Stegostoma tigrinum: one gene and its partners. The protein of the gene in region 2 interacts with the protein of the main gene of each other region in a pairwise test. Links are inferred from orthologs where the notes say so. Each region holds a gene or a part of one and is shown on either strand. Other genes may lie near its edges. The genes, in order: phostensin-like, tfip11 and lmo4.

The links.
Region 1: the proteins of tfip11 (region 2) and phostensin-like interact in binary tests that used the Homo sapiens proteins (3 or more experiments, as listed by UniProt). The link is inferred for Stegostoma tigrinum from reciprocal best matches to the Homo sapiens genes TFIP11 and PPP1R18.
Region 3: the proteins of tfip11 (region 2) and lmo4 interact in binary tests that used the Homo sapiens proteins (3 or more experiments, as listed by UniProt). The two-hybrid records come from large-scale screens. The link is inferred for Stegostoma tigrinum from reciprocal best matches to the Homo sapiens genes TFIP11 and LMO4.

What each region holds. Positions count from the first base shown.
Region 1 is NC_081387.1:14,388,100-14,393,854, reverse strand, and holds the start of phostensin-like, read left to right. Parts: upstream 1-1,728; 5' UTR 1,729-3,620; coding exon 3,621-5,579; intron 5,580-5,755.
Region 2 is NC_081379.1:17,493,813-17,499,567, forward strand, and holds the start of tfip11 (tuftelin-interacting protein 11), read left to right. Parts: upstream 1-2,490; 5' UTR 2,491-2,501; coding exon 2,502-2,612; intron 2,613-2,640; coding exon of another isoform or gene 2,641-2,795; exon of another isoform or gene 2,796-3,317; intron 3,318-5,755. Other genes in the region: srrd (SRR1-like protein), read right to left, coding at 548-774, 1,500-1,540, 2,641-2,795. UniProt on the Homo sapiens protein: Involved in pre-mRNA splicing, specifically in spliceosome disassembly during late-stage splicing events. Intron turnover seems to proceed through reactions in two lariat-intron associated complexes termed Intron Large (IL) and Intron Small (IS).
Region 3 is NC_081361.1:90,464,577-90,470,331, reverse strand, and holds the start of lmo4 (LIM domain transcription factor LMO4), read left to right. Parts: upstream 1-2,290; 5' UTR 2,291-2,381; intron 2,382-5,755. UniProt on the Homo sapiens protein: Transcription cofactor. Plays a role in establishing motor neuron identity, in concert with MNX1, acting, at least in part, to disrupt LDB1-LHX3 complexes thereby negatively modulating interneuron genes in motor neurons.

The DNA of each region.
Region 1 (5,755 bases), on a different chromosome or scaffold from region 2:
GGTGACTGCAAAAACGACCCAGAGCTTCCAGTTTCCTGCCACTCCAAGCTGTGTTCTCTAGCCTGCTCTGTCTCAGGCCTGCTGCAGTGCTCTAGCGAAGCTCAGCGCAAGCTCAAAAAAAAATCTCTCTTTCTGCTTGGGGACCCGGCAGCCTCTAGGGCTCAACGTCAAATTAAATAAGTTTAGAGCCTGATTCCAGCCTTCCATTTTTTAACCCACTGCCAGACCCAGTCCTGTGACAGCATGGGTTTCTTTTAGCCCGGTCACCCATTCTCACGTAATCCTAGGCCCATGGTTAGAGACATAAAATACTGCAGATGCTGGAATCCAAGGTAGACAAACAGGACGCTGGAAGAATACAGCAGGCCAGGCAGCATCTGCAGGTGAGCAGCAATCGGGTACACTTCTCAATAGAGCTCTCCTGTGTTCTCACTCTTTGATTGCATGATCTCTTATTCAGCTTTTTTTCTGTCCTGGCCAGCTATCTGTTATCTTCTTGTTTACATTTCTCTGTCATATCTTTCTCCATCTCTCTGACCTCCATCTATACCTATACACTCACCTCCGCTCTCCCCCACACTTTGGTTCCAGCATAAATACCAGTTTCCCCCAGCTACTTGCAGTTCAGATGCAACTCAAAATGTGCTTCCGTCCCACAAATGCTTACATATGCTTGTTCTGCCAGTCACTTCAAATCTGTGCCCTGTCTTTCTTGATCTCTTTTTACAAATCGTACAGTTTCTCTCTGTCAACGCTGTCCAGCCCCTGCATGATTTTGAACAATTCTATCGGATCTCCTCTAAGCCTTCTCATTCTACAGGAGGACAGTCCTGATCTCCCCATTCTATCTCTCCCTCTATATTCTCCCTCACTGTATCTTCTCTCTCCTCTCCTGCTCGCTAACTCCCTCTTCCTATTCCTTTCTCTAAATTCTCTCTGTGCCTCTCTCTGTCTCTTTTCCCCACCTCCCTTTGCCTGCTCCCTTGACCCTTTCTCTAACTCCTTCTTCCCATTCCACTTTCTCTTTCCTCTCTGTCTGTAACTCTCTCTACTCCCTTTCTCAATTCCCTGTCTCTCTGTTCACTGTCTCTCATTATTTCCTCTTTCTATTTACTCTTGCTCCATTCACTCTGTCACTCCCGCCTCTCTATCCCTCCTCTCCTGTTCTCTATCTCCATCTTTCTATTCCTCCTCTCTCTATTCCCCTCCCTTCCTAGTCTACATGCTCCCCCTCTCTATTTTCATTTGCTGTCTCTCTCTCTACACCTCATTTTTCTCTCGGTCAGGTCTCACTTTATTCTGTCTTCCTTCTCGGCCTTTCTTTATTACACTCCCATTCCCTCAACCCTCTCTCTCTCTCCCCACCTCCTTTCTCTCTCTCTCTCTCTCTCCACCTCCAACCCTCTGTTCCCCACTCACTCTCTCCCCCAACCCTCTATCCCCCCACTCACTCTCTCCCCCCACACACTCCTCACCCCACTCACTCCCTCTCCTTCCCCCCTTTATCTCCCTATCACCCCACCCCCTTTCTCTGTCTCCCACTCCCTCACCCTGTCTTCCCCCAACCCCCCTCTCTCTCCCACCCAGCCCCCTTCTCTCTCTCCAACCCTCCCCTTCCCCCCTTCCCCCTTTCTCTCTTCCCCCCTTCCCCCTTTCTCTCTTCCCCAACCCCTCTCTCCCATCCCACCTTGTTCTCACTCTCTTCCACCCACTGTCTCCCTTCACCCTTCCTCTCCCCCCTTCTCTCTCTCTCCCCCACGACCCTCTCTCTAATCTACAAGTCTCTCCCTGTTCCCACCCTCTGCAGTCATTTACTTTCTGTCTCCATTCCTCGTTTTATTTTATTCTCTCTCCATTCAGTCTCACTTTATTTTCTCTGCCTTCGCGCTCTCTCTACCTCTCTGTCCATTCACCCCTAGTCCCAGCCCCACACTCTCTCTCCCTCCCCCGTCTCTCTCTCTCTCTCTCTCTCTCTCTGTTTCCTGCCCTCTCCCGGATGCTCTCTCTCTCTCTCGAACACACACACACTCAGTCACCGTGAGCAGCAGCGGGTTCCCAGTCCCGGGGAGATTACGGGATCCCCCGTCGGACCCCACCACCGCAGGCAGCTTCAAATCCCGAGCGAGAGCTCGCCAGCGGGGAGAGTCCCCCCCCCGCGCCCCGGGATCCGCAGCCTCCGGGCGGTCAGGAACACCCACCCCGAGCCGCTCCTTTTGTTCGGGAAGCCGGGGCGGCACCCAGGACCCAGCACTGTCCCGGGACAGCGGAGTGTCTGACCCGGGAGACATCACCATCGCCTTCCCTCCCGCCTGGAATCGACCCCATGGGAGCACAGAGACAGAGATTTATCCCAGGATAGACTGTCATCCCCGGGACGGAGGTAGGGATAGACAGGAGGCCGTATCCCGAGAACAGAGAGCGCGACTTATTCCCAGGATCGAGAGAAAGGCTTATCCCTGACAGAGAGATTTATCTTGGGACAGACCGTGGAGTTTCCCTGTCAAAGGATTTATCCCGGTACGGACAGAAGGAGTTCCCTGATCCAGAGAGAAGGAGGGATCTATCCTGGGGCAGATGGGGACCTGAGCGTTCCCATGAGGTGCGCAGGGGTACCTGACCATGGCTTCGGTGGGTGAACTGCTGGCTGTGTGCTCCCAAGGGTCGGAGTGTCAGGGTCTGAGGGTATGGAATGTGAGGGTCTGATAGTGAGAGTCCGAGCGTTGGGTATTGAGTGAGGGTCTGAGTGTTGGGTATTGAGTGAGGTCTGAGTGTTGGGTATTGAGTGACGGTTTGATTGTGAGGGTCTGAGTGTTGGGTATTGAGTGACGGTCTGATTGTGAGGGTCTGAGTGTTGGGTATTGAGTGAGGTCTCAGTGTTGGGTATTGAGTGAGGGTCTGATTGTGAGTGTCTGAGTGCTGGGTATTGAGTGAGGATCTGACTGTTGGGTATTGAGTGAGGGTCTGAGTGTTGGGTATTGAGTGACGGTTTGATTGTGAGGGTCTGAGTGTTGGGTATTGATTGAGGTCTGAGTGTTGGGTATTGAGTGAGGGTCTGATTGTGAGTGTCTGAGTGTTGGGTATTGAGTGAGGGTCTGAGTGTTGGGTATTGAGTGAGGGTCTGAGTGTTGGGTATTGAATGAGGGTCTGATTGTGAGTGTCTGAGTGTTGGGCATTGAGTGTGAGGGTCTGAGTGTTGGGTATTGAGTGTGAGGGTCTGAGTGTTAGGTATTGTGAGGGTCTGAGTGTTGGGTATTGAGTGAGAGTCTGAGTGTTGGGTATTGAGTGAGGGTCTGATTGTGAGTGTCTGAGTGTTGGGTATTGAGTGTGAGGGTCTGAGTGTTGGGTATTGAGTGTGCGAGTTGAGTATTGAGTGTGTGTTTTGAGTGTCTGTAATGTCTCAGGGTGAAAGATTTGGTGTTTGGCCATAGATCTGGATCTTGCTCTGTCCCATATGGCATTGTCTGAAGGTCACCATCTTTGAGACCCCGTCGATTTCCCAGTGAGACAGGGTGACCCAGGGGTGAAGTCAGTCGTGGGTGGGTGGAGCAGGTTTTAGTGACCAGAACTGGGGCAGGCTTGACCCCTTCACTTTCCACCAGTGACTGGGCTGAAACTCCACAATGACGTCTCCTCCTCAGTGGAAGGTTCAGCTGCTGGAGAGGAAGAGAAGGGATGAGGAAGAGGAAAGGCGCAAGGAGAAGGAAGAACAGGAGAGGCTGGCCAGAATTCCGGCCTGGAAGAGGGAGATCATCGAGAGGAGGCGGGCCAGGCTGTGCCCTGGGTCATCGTCTTTGGAAATACAGGCCGAGGGTCAGGCTGGGTCTAGCCCGATGGGCTCTGCAGCCAAGGCTGGGACTGATGGGACAGAGCCTGAGGCCTGCGTTGCCACGGCGACAGACAGCGTGGTGCTGCGGGAGAACATTGGGCCCCTGCGCCAGAATCACTTTATCCAGCGGGAGAAGCAGAGGAAGGGAGGTTCGGAGCTGGAGCAGGCCCCTCTGGGTGTCCCAGGGACCGAGATGATCTGTCACACCCCAGGGGTGACCATCATACAGGCAGACGACATCACCATCATTGAATCCGGGCCCAGGCTCCCGGGCACCAGTGAGAAGCTGCCGAGTGTGAATGGCCTGGCCGGCCAGCAGGGGGCATGTCGGCCTGACCTCCGTTCCCCCTTGAGCAGGAGTGTGGAGGATCTGAACTCCTTTGGGAAGTGCCGAGCGGAGTTGGGAGAGGAGGGCCCCAAACGTGGGCGGGTCAGCCGGCTACTGTGCAGGTTCGGCCAGCAGGGGCGCACCTGGGCGACCAGAGATGGCGGGGTGGGGGAGGAGACAAAGGCTCTTGCGGCACGGCCTTCTCGCTCCCGCAGCACCGAGAACATCCTGGAGCGCCCGGGACGCTCAGGGGCATCCTCTGGCCCACCGAGGAGCCCTCACGCCCCGCGCCAAGGACGCAGGCCCCAGTCCCGCTCTCCCCCCACCACCTCCCCTCCGCGCACGGTCTCCACCTCCCGCAGCCGCTTCGAGGCCTGGTTGGCGACAGAGACACCCAGCCGAGCCGCCAATGAGGAGGAGGCCCAGCCCGCTAGGCCAGGGTCCCAGGGGATGGTTGGGGAGGGAGGACGAGGAGGGGGAGGAGGAAGAGGGGGAGGAGGACGCCTCAGGCCTGGTTGTTTGGGCAGCGGGAGGTGGGATCCAGATCCAGGCCCCGGCATAGTGAGGGACGGCAAGGCTGAACCCAGGGAGGCCCAGGCTCTGGTTGATGGCCAGGCTGCACCCTCCAAGCAGCAGCAGGGGGAGGAGGAGGAGGAGGAGGCCAAAGCCTCCGTCCTCCTCCCCGACCCACCCTCCCCCAACGATGTAAACACTCTCGGCTCCTCCAGGCCACAGCAGCCTGTCAATGTGGCTTCCTCTTCCTGTGCAGAGCAGGCCCCTACAGCTTCCTGCCTTCCTGCTGTTGCTACTGCTGGTGCGGCAACAGACCAGAGACGCACTGGGGATCCTGGACCACAGGGTGGGACGCCTGAGCTAGGCCTGGACAGGGCCCCCTTCACCGAGCCCGGGCCAGATCCAGACACCAGTCAGGGGGGGCCCAGCAGCAACATGAGCGGGCCGCAGCCTCCCACTGTGGGCCCCCGGGAAACCAGGCTTCCGGCCTTCCCTGTCCGAGCCAGCTATGGAGGAGGGGGTGGGGGAGTGGTCGCCCGGGAGACAGAGGGCGCAAGTGACGGAGGGCGGGGGCGGCAGGGTACCCTGTCGTCCACGCCCTCAAGGCCAGGCCCCGAGGCGGTGTTGGAGGATGGCGAGGGGAGGCAGCGGCCTACCTTCTCTCCCGGCCCCCAGCGCAAGTCAGGGAGAACCATCACCATCAACCCCCGCAAGATGGCAGCCAACAAGACCCCGTCTCCTGGCAACGCCGCGACAACAGAGAACGGCATCTTGGGGACGCCACCCCCCGCTGGCTTGCCCGCGGCCCCGGCAAAGAAACGGTACCCGACGGCCGAGGAGATCCAGGTGATCGGTGGCTACCTGACGCTGCAGAGGTCCTGCCTGGTCAAGTCTGGCGTGAGCCGAGGGAAGGTAGGAGGCATACCCCGGGGTTGGGGGGGGTAGGGACAGTGAATCAGGCAATGGGGCACGCCGGGAAGGTGGACGCTGGAGGAGGGCGGAGGTAGGGATAATGTGAGGGGTACGTTCATCAAGGGGTTTAAGCTGTAAAGACTCCATAAGCTTGATGTGTCAGCACAGGGAAAACT
Region 2 (5,755 bases):
ATTGCATACAGCAAAAAAAACTGTGCATTAAAGAAATGATTTATTTCTGGATGAGGCATGAGCTGAATCAAAAGTAAAGCCCTCCATCCACTTCACGCTGTTAAAACAAGGTGTGTGAATGATTCTTATGTCTCCTTCAGCTTGCTTTGAAAATATGATTTCAGACTGAGTTTATCATACGAGGAAGCACAGTTGCAAAACTTTTCACATTTCGCTATGTGGTATTACCTGTTCGAAGATGTTTGTTTTGAATGTTTTTCACTGTCCATTCCTAAATCTGCAGATTTATAGATTTAGAGAATTATCATTTTAAACATAGTTATGAGTCACTGATTTATTTCCACAAAAAAGTACAAAAACACTAGACTTTTGCTGAATGAAAGATACACCGTGCAAGAAGAATGGGACAAGCAGAATCAAAGATGGAAAAGCAACTTGTTAATACAACTATGGTTTCTAAGCATTCAGGAATGATGCAAACTAACATTACTCAATGGACTCTTTAGCTCCCCATTCACTTCACACATTAGCACCTGACTACACTTACCTGTAGTGTCTCTAGCAGTAGGAACAGCAGGGCCAGCTGATAACGAGATGACATGGAAGTAGAAAAATTTCCGATTCCATAACATACCGAGTTAAGCATATATCGATAATGATCTGTATTTTTCTTTTTGTGTCCAAGGTAATCTGGAGGTTCCCCAGTAGGGAAGGGACTTGATGGAGATACAAGTTGATCTGTATGATGCATATTCACAACTCTTTGAAAGGTTTCTGAAACAGATTGTGACAATTACCATCTCAGGAAGCAAACTGAATGTCGTAAAAATTGCAAATAGATAATTACAGAATTGTTTCAGGTGCATGTCATTCAGTCCAGCATGTCTGAACTAGCTTTCTGAACATCCACCTGTCACCTTTATTGACTTATGTACATATACAGCAGGTCTCTCACCTCTCTGCCTACTCCACCAACTTGTAATTTTCCTCCTGAAATTCTACGCTATCCTCCTCTCAGTTTATAATGCTCCCAACTTTGAAGTTATCTCCTGCACTTCAAGATTCAGACCCCTTACATATATCAGGAAAAGCAAGAATTCCAACACTGACTCCTGGGGAACTCCACAATACATCTTACTCAAGCCCAAAAAACATCCACTAACAATTACTCTGTTTCCTATCACTTAGCCAATTTTATATCCACATTGCTATAGTTCTCTTTATTCCATAAACTACAACTTTTGTTTTACAAGTCTATTGTGTGGCACTATATTGAACTCTTTTTGCAAGTCCATGTACACAATATTGACCACATTGCCCTCATCAATTCTCTTTATCACCTCTTCAAACACTTCAGCTAGCTAGACATGATTTTCCTTTGACAAATCCGCGCTGGCCTTTCTGAATTAATCAATATTTTCACATGTGACGATGAATACTATCCTGAACAATTGATTCTAGAAACATTCCCATGTTAGAACTTAAGTCTACCAACTCACCGAGGCAATCAATCCAGAATTCTGAACTTTGCAGTTCCTTTCTGTAATAAAGTTCAATGGTTAGTTTTTCCATCACAGAAAGCTATGATTATTTTGTAGGTGTCAAATTTACAGGGACAAAGCAAGTAAAGAGTAGGTCTGACCATATGTCTTGTTTCTTGTAATAATAGGTGAATAAATTATTTTAAACTTATCTTGTAGAGAATGAAAAAGAAAGGAAACTGTTAGGAATGAGCCAACACTTAAGGTACATTTAATCGCTTCCACAATTTATTAACTTGGATGCCTAATTATGACGCTGTGACTTAACTGAAGTATTCAAAATGGAATGACAGAATTTCAGCTGGACAGGAGGGAGCATACTGGCCAATCATACCATTTAAGTGAACTTGAAAAGCCAGATGAGTCACATCTGAAAAATCTACTTGAATATGTACCTTGAGATCTCAACATAAAGTGAAATATTTCACCACTATAAATGTAATTGTGATAGAAAATGCTATCATGATAGACTAGGAGAAATGGTTTGATTGAACACATAGATTGTATTGGCCAACCATGGCAGTTGTAAATGTCAAAATAATGAATAAAAGAACTGGAGATGTTGGAGATTTGAAATAAAAACTGAAAGTGCTGGCAAAATTCAACAGGTCTGGAAGCAACTGTTCGGAGATGGCTGAATGAACATCTCGAGTTCAGTGACTCTTCATTAGAATAGAATTGTCAAGGCCTTAGGAGCAAATTACTGCAGATGCTGGAATCTGTACTGAAAACAACCAATGCTGGAGATCACAGGAGGTCGTACAGCATCCATGGGAAGACCTTTCCAGGTCCATATCAATTGCCTTATCGAGTAGTGTTGGCTGTGTGCCTAACTCAGATTGGCTTCCGTTTTCAGTGACTCCTGAAGTTGGATTTTAGTACATTTCCCCCCCTTTTTATTACGCCAACACACAGCAATCTGTGGACGTATGTGTGTGCTCCACGTCTCACACGTCTCAGATGTTTCTGGATACGTTATCTCTGGTCTGGCACGAGCGAGAGGCTGAAGGTGTTTCCCTACAAATGTCGGGACCAAAATCCATCAGATCAACCCCGCAGCAGCAGCAGGAGGTGGGTTCTGACAATTCAGTGAACTTACACTGCTTCCTTTATTTTCTGTTGCATTCTCTCCCCTTCAGCCACACTCGGATATTCCACCGCGTGGGGAACCTCTCTGGCATTTTCTCTCCGTTTCTTTACTCCTTTTTTCTTTCTGATTGTTTTCCATTCTCCTTCTGCTGGTAAGGCAGACATCTCTCTCTGTAATTAAGTTTGAAGAAGGGCCGTACCAAACTGCATCCTTTCAGTGTGCCCGTGTTGTTGCTGAGGAAGCTGAGATCTGGTGCAGGGGCAACAGGTTTCGAGATTATGGGCCTCAGCTGGGACGATGTGTAAAACAAAAACTGGAAACTCTGAGAACTGCTCCCTCTGGGAAGAAGAGAAACAAGATTTTTAAATTACATGGAGTGTTTATTCCTCCTTTCTGTCTGTTCCTGGTTATTTAATTTCCCAGTTCCTCAGAGCGTTTAACTGTTTTACACGACCCACGGTGCCTCTCGGTTCACTGTTCCCACTGACACCATCACCTTTGCAGGTTCTGTTTCCTGACCGCGGGCCGGAACCATTGTACGCTCTCGGTGTTTCCCGACAGCGGAGTTCCGGGCACGGACCATAGGATGGCGGATGTGGTTCGTTGGTGAGACATCGGTTTAAAGTTATCTCCGAGAGGCGGAGGGCGCGCGGCGGCGGCTTTGTGGCTGGAATTAACCGAAAGCGGTGAGTTTGGGTTGTGGACTTTGTTCCTGTTCGTTTTGTTGGACGATTCCTAAACTGCACCCAGGCCGACTGAGAGAACCGGAGAGCGGCCTGTGTGTGTGTGTGAGAGAGAGAGAGGGAGAGAGAGACACTGTACTCTAATCCTGACAGTCCGTTCCCCGTAATATGCACACAACCCCTGTTCCGCGCCGCCCCCCCCCCCCCCCAATTCCATTAGACCATAAGATCTAATTCGGATGTTCAGCCCATTCGTGTCTGCACCACCATCCGATCATGGTCGATATGTCTCAACCCCGTTCTCTCACCTTCTCCCCCAACCCCTGATCCCGTTACTAATCAACAACCTAACTATCTCTGACTTAATACGCTCAATGACTCAGCCAACACAGTTTCACCACCTGGCTGAAGAAATTCCTCCTCGTTTCAGTTTTACAGGGTTGTTCCTTTGCTTAGAAGCTGTGCCCTCAGGTCCTAGTCTCTCCTAGTAGAGGAAATATCATCTCCACAACCTCTTTGCCCAAGCCTCTCGGTATTCTGTAAGTTTCAATGAGATCTCCTCTCACGCGTTGAGTACAGGTCCAGAATCCTTAACGACTTCTTCTATGACAAGTTCTTCATCTCCAGGATCATGCTTGGAAACCTCCTCTGAATGCCCTCCAATGGCAGTGAATCCTTTCTTAAATACAGGGCACAAAACTGCTCACAATATTGCAAATGTGCCTGACTAGAGCCTTACACTGCATCTGCAGTACGTCTCTGCTCTTTTATTCTAGTCCGCTTGACATGAATGCTAACATTTCATTTGCCTTCCTAATTGCCAGATGAATCTGCATGTTAACCTTAAGAGAATCCCGGACAAGTAGTCCCAAATGCCTTTGTGCATTTGATTTCTGAAGTCTTTCCCAATTTAGAAAATAGTACGTGCTTCTATTGCTCCTACTCAAGTGGATAACCTCACTCTTTACCACATTGTATTCCATTTGCCACTTCTCCAGCCACTCTCCTAGCTTGTTGAAATCCTGCTTCATCAACATTACCCGTCCCTCCACCCATTCTTGTGCTTTTTTTCAAACATGCAGTTTGTTGATCTATAAAATGAATGGTTGTGGTTGTAACATTGACCCCCCGTAGAACTTCACTAGTTACAGGCTACCATCCAGAAAAAGATCCGTTTATTCCGATCTGTGCCTTCTGCCCATCAGCCAATCCTCTATCAACGCCAACACCTTGTCCCCAACACCATGGGCTTTTTTTTTAAAGCAGCCTCCTGTGCAGCGGCTTGTCAGAGGTTTCCTGGATATCCAAATGGGCCACATCCATCGGCTTTTCTTCATCAAACTTGTTTATTACCTCCTCAAAGGATTGCAATAGATTGTAAGGCACGACCTCCCCTTGAAGCAGTGCTGACTCAGTTCTTCTTTATCATGCACTTCCAAGTTCTCTGCAAACTTTTCCTTTGTAATTGACTCTAAAATCTTACCAGCAACCAAGCTCAGGCTAACTGACATATAATTCTCCATCTTCAGGCTCCGTCTTTTCTTAAACAACTTGTTACATTAGCCATTTTCCAGTCCTCTGGGGCCCACCTGTCACACAGGTGATGCCTGAAAGATCATCACCACCAATGTCTCCATAATCTTCTCAGCTCTCTCTTTCAGAACTCTGGGATATGGTCCACCCACTCTGGGTGATTCATCCACCTTCAGACCGTTCAGCTTCCCCAACATCATCACCTTACTGATGTCCACTACACTCAACCATGCCCCTTGACACTCTGAAGTTTTGTTATGATCCATGAAGAATGATGCAAAGCATCAATTAAGTTCATGATTTCTTTGTTTCTCATTAGTCCTTCTCAGCCTCATTTTTCAGCATTCCAATGTCCACCCTTGCCTCACTTACTTCTTATTTATCTAAAAGAAAACTTGTTCAATTTTTTTTCATATTACCAGCTAGCTTACTCTCATATTTCATCTTCTCCCCCTTATTGCTTTTTTGTTTGCACTTTGCTGGCTTTTAAACCCTCTGACTTCCCAATAATCCTCACCATGTTGTGTGCTTTTTCTTTTACTTTTGCATTGTCCCTAACTTCCCTTGTCAGCTATGCTTGCCTCATCCTCCCTGTAATATGTTTCTCCTTCCTTAGGATGAATTTCTCCTGAACTACCCCGAGAAACCTCTGCCATTACTGCTGTGCTGTCTTCCCTGCTGGGTATGCCTTCCAAACTACTGTAGCCAGATCCTCTGTTATGACTTTGTAGTAACCTTTTCTCAATTGTAATATTGCTACATCTGATTCCACCTTCTTCCTCTCAAAATGGAGGATGAATTCTATCATATTATGATATTATCTCCCCACAATCTCCCACTCTCTCCTTTAACAGTCTGTTCCTCACCCCACAACCTCCCTGTCTCTTCCTGTCCCCCACCACAATCTC
Region 3 (5,755 bases), on a different chromosome or scaffold from region 2:
CTCTCGTTATAGACATATGCGATTAAAAAAAACTTCACAAAATATACTTATAAAAGTATGCATTGATAGACAGGTGAGCAAGTTCAAAGAGCAAACAAAACTTTTGTTTTGAGCAGGATACATGAGAAAAAAAAACGTTGTTCTGTCTGTTACCACTACATGTATGTATTATTGCCCCAACTGATGAAATGGAATACTGACTTTATACTGCAGCCAGACATACAGCATACACAACAGCTACTTGATACAAGTCACTTTGAGCACAAGCTCACAGCCATCCCTCTATATGTCTGTTAATTGTTTGTGATGGGAGCTGGGGTGGGGGCTGGAGGAAAATAGATTTTAATTATGCCTGTAAGCCATATTAATAATCAACTAGACAGCTAGGCAGGCAACAAAAAAAAACAACGCTGGAGCTGAATGTGTACGCTAATGAATCAGTACCAAATAAATTAAGAGTCTTTCCCAAATTCAAATCAAAATATAATTTAGAAACAAAAATTTTAAACATGATACTGATTGGAATCCAACCAAACTAACTGCAGGTTTTTGATCAATAAATTTACCTGATTAATGATAGAACGAAGTAGCAATATACATTCTAATGCCATTTATCCCCAGCAGACAATTGTAAAAAATGAGATGAGTGCTTCTTAACCAGGTGAAACACAAGCCTTTACATGAATATTGCCGTCCCTTGATCAACTCTCTTATCTTTGAGCATGTCAGACTTTCTTACATCTAGCTGCTATAGGCACAATGAATTCACAAATAAAATGAAACTATGTTATTGAATTAAGGTCTTACATCTTCAAAGCAATATGATTTAACAGTTTATGATTTAAGTCAGGATTTCACTAGGTAAAATATACCCTGTACCGTAACATAATTGCCATATCTTGCCAAGTTTGGCAAGCTTTGTGCTTTGACTTTTATCTTACTGAATATATTTGAACCTTTCTTCATAGTTTTCTATTGAGTATATAATGTAGCATGGTACACCCATATTAAAAAAAGGTATCATTCAATTTCATAGAAATTGTGCAACTTATTCAAAGTAAAATTTAACTGCAGACATTATACAATTTATATATCTCCTAACCTACAATGTTTTGCAATTGTTGTGAACATTATAAAGGCAGAGTTATCTTTCCTCCTTTGACCATTTATATTATCAAAGCATTTTTAAATGTTAAAGCTTTAGCGAGACCATCAGTAAATTTTAGTTTGACCATCAATGTCAGAGATCAATGACTGAGAATTTGCAGCAAGAAGGGTGTGCTGCGAGACACGTCATGGATCTAACCTCACATCAGGGTATGTACTGGAGTGCAATTCCAACACTATGTAAATCCAGTTTAAAGGTGTTTGCGAGTCCTATGACTAACTCCTTCTATTTAGTTAAAAAACACCAACTTTGAACTTACGTATCAGTTTTTATGATCTTGAAATGCCACATTATAAGCAATTAGCTACTTTTCAAATGAAGACATCATTGTACTTTAGAACTTGAAGCTGCCAAATTTGGCAGAGCAAGCACTCACAACCAGCTCACTGATCACGACCACAGAGCCACAGAGATGTACAGTATGGAAACAGATCCTTCAGTCCAACTCATCCATGCCAGCCAGACATCCTAAATTAATCTAGCCCCATTTGCCAGCATTTGGCCCACATCCCTCTAAATCCTCCTCATTCATGTACCTATCCACATGACTTTGTAATGTTCGGATAATTCATTTCCTTGTGTAATATTAGCTGAGGAATAAATAATACCATGACAAAGCAGAAAATTCTCCAGCCCTTCTTGGAAATTAGATTGTGTTAAATTGCCACCTGAAAGAACAGCCAACTGCTTGGTTTGACATCTAATCCGAGTGAAACACACTTTCAGTCGGGCTCTGGACAGTCATCTTTCTTTAGCACCAAATCTTGGAGTACTACGCCTGAACAAGGGCTGACATTAAAATGACAAGGTAGGCATCTTTTTACTGGCATTGGATATGAATGTGCAAAAAACATGTTCACAGCCCACTCTAGTTGCAAAAAACTTTTATGGAAAGCAGGCTTTTTAAAAAGGCACTATTCTAGTTGGAATCTGTACATTATAAGGCCATTCAATGAATACTTTTTTTAACATAACTTGATATCTTAAGCCTTCTCGGTGTTTTGGTTCAGTTCAAGTGTAGCCTATTGTCAGTTCTGGCAACTTATGAAGCCAGTTGATGATCAGCAGTGAAGTTCCAGCTCTTCCCAGCAGGAGGGGCCAACTCTTCAGCCACTCCCTCCAGCAAGTGCGAAAATTGTGAGGCTAGTCATTTGCTGCTGAAGATGTGTGACGGACTCTGAGGTACTTTGAGGAAGATTACTCGCAAACACAAGTAAGTAGATTCTTTGAAAATGAAAGCCTGCATTAAATTACTATTTGATTGGCTTAAAACGACATAGTTGCAACTAGTAAGAGTATTAAATATATGAACTCGTCAGAATCCAGATCATACTGAGAGCGCAGAACAGCTGCGCGGCGAATCCTTAAGGGCTAATGTTGTTGTAAAAACTATTGACAAAATTGGCGCGTTTTGTTGTCCTTTGTGTCTGTTTTTGGAGTTTGTCTTGTTTCGCTCTGTGTTTGTTTAGCCAGCAGAATTAATTTGGGAGGGATAGAAGGGTCGAAGGTGTGTGAGAAGGAGAAAATAACACTTGCCCAGTTCAGAGACTGAGCGAAGACCTGACGGGTCTCTGGTTGATAAAGCAAGCCTATCTCGTGTTTCCAGAATTAATGACGGGGTTAACGTGGGCCCTGATAGCTTGTTACTGTAAATAAAAGACATAAAGCAGTCCCTTCCTTAAGAGCAGGCTGAAACAGCACTGTAGCTGTGAAATATGTAGCTAATTAAACCTATTGGTGTAAACTAATAAAGTATATGTGCCCGTTAGATTTCTTATTCTAATGAATCTGAACTAATTTGCCTTGACTGATGAATTTTCTGTTAGCAGTGGGTAGAATAATTATGAAATTTATCACTCGGCAGCTCATTAGAATCTACCTGCCCATATCATGGTATTTTGTGTGTGTGTGTGTGTGTGTGTGTGTGGTGTGGACTCTAATCATCTATGAACTGAAGCAAACACTCAAACCCTCGCCAATACTGGGCGGGAGCCTTTTCCGAACGCATTGCACTGGGGGATTTCGACTCTTAATACACTTTTACCTCGATCATATTACAGAGAGCAGGGCAATATTTCCCCGCCATTTACCAAAAAGCTCATTAAAGGACAAACAATGAGTCCCTTCCGAGGCTCGCATTCAAGTCACTTCATCATTCTCCCTTGTTTTAATAGTCTCAGCAAATTAATTATTCCATTGTGAAAACCGTATTATTCACATCATTCATTTCACTGAATAGGTTGGCAACTCGGGTCTGGGTGGAATTTAAGGAGAAATTAGAAAACTGGAACAAATCTGCTAGTCAGTAGAGAGAGAGAGAGAGACAGAGAGAGAGAGACAATAGTTCATTAATTGTTAGGGTGGGGGTAGCGTTTGGAGTTTCACATTAAAATCCACGAATACCTGAGATTTTCCTCAGTTTGAGCCCACACTCTCGTCAAACTTGACGAACTCAAACTTAAATGACGCTGAAACTCAAACAGAAAATAATCGCGTTTTTACTTTCGGGCCTTAGAGTGTGCAATAATTGACAAAAGTGTAACTTGAGTTTTTGTGTGTGTGGGTTTTGATTCGGGCTCAGTTTCATCACAGGAGCAGAAAGCGGAGACACAGAGGGAGGGGAAAGAAAGATCCCACGGAATTGGGTCAATAAAGCATCACTGTCACTCATTAGCACCCTCGTTAACCCTGTCAATTTCTAAACTGCAAATACCTGTGAACAAAACGCGCGCACACACACCCACCCACTTTATAATGAAGTAAACCTCTCTTTTGGTCAGCGTCTCTGCCTGGAGCCTCGAACCCTCCGCCCCCTGACTTTCGGACACTTGCAGGCATTTCTGAGTTCTCAAACGGCCTCAGTGACCCATGGACGGAGCTAGCTGATGGGTTAGTAGCTAGGCTGTGAGTGATGGCCGTGACTCCCCTCATAAATCCCCGGGTTCTCCACGTGGATTTTTTTCCCAGGGCCTGGAGGGGTTAGCTTCAGCTCTTGGTGGTGAATGACAGGCCAATAATTCACTCGGTGCAGCCGGTGATAACATCGCAGAGCTACGTTGTGATTTACAGTAACCTCCCTCCATGTGACTTCTGCCTTTGACTGAAAGACTATCTGCCCGGATCTTACCAGCAATAACCAGATTATTTATAACTTGCAACCTTCTTGTAATTAACCGCGGATCAGTTGTATTTAAACCAGATCTCTGTTTCGAAAAGGAAGGGCTGCTGTTAGGTTGGTGCCTGTGGTGATTGGGAACAGTCTATTGACTATGCCTCGCCTCGACGATGTTTTCACTTTACTCACAACGCTTCCGCAAGCAAACGGTTCCCGCGAAGTAACAAAGAAAGCTTATAGCTCACTGTGATTCTCATAGCTGTGAAACGAAAAGTCTTGTTCAACCTCCATCTTCAAGTGTGAGAGGAGCAAGTATTCTCAAACCTTGAAACTGTAATAAAAACAGAAAGTGCTGGAGATACTCAGCAGATCAGGCAGAGAGCGAAAAATAGTCAACGTTTCGAGTCTAGTATGTCTCTTCCATGCATATATAGACTTATAAAATATATCATACAGGATTCTATAAAATAACGGTGTGGAGTCACACGACATCAGATTATAATCCACCAGCGCTGCTCCGAAAGCTTGCGATTTCAAATAAACCTGTTGGGCCATTCTCCAGCATCTGCAGTTCCTACTATCTCTGGACAATAATCTGGTGTCGTATGACTTCTGACTCTATTAAAATAAGTAGTATCTATGATTACATAAAATATTTCATATGTAAGATTATACAAAATACATCATAAATAGATTATGTAAAGCAAATATTATTCCATAATAAATATGCTGACAAATATGATACAAAATTATATAAATTAAAATATGATTCTAATGAAATAAAATTTCCGAAAACTTGCTATAATTACAGTAAAATGTGTTTGTAAAATTTATAAAATTTGTAAAATTTATTTCAAAGTATTTGTAATTTTAGTTTTACAGAAAATATGATTTGATTATACAAATTATCACACGCATGGTTATAATAAAATATTTCACGTATTTGATTATATAAAATATTATTATAGACAAATTATGAGTGTCTTGTCGGACTCAACATTTAACTCCTTTCTCTCGCCATACAGTTGCTGTCAGACCTAGTGAGTTTATCCAGTCCTTTTTGTTTTTATTTCAGATTTCCAGCATCCGCGGTGTTTTTCTTCCCCTCTGTTTTGAAGGTCCTTTGTGAGCTCTGTGATTGGAACCTGTGTGGGTTTGAAAGAAAGCAGCAGGGCGAAGATGCAGAGTAACTTGTTAATGAGCCGCTGATATTTGAAATGTTGAATATGGAGAGGTACAGGTGGTCTTAATTCTGACAGGACACAAACATTCCTTCTAGAATACTGATCATGTACTCAATAATCCAGCTACAGAGAGATAATAAATAAAATGCTTGCTGCTTTAAATGCCATAAGTAATATCATATGCTACAGTTGTACATACTTACAATAATATTATACCTAAAGTTATGTAATTTAAACCACATAATTGGCGTTGCTTTAACAGGAATTTGTTCATGTTGAATAGATAGT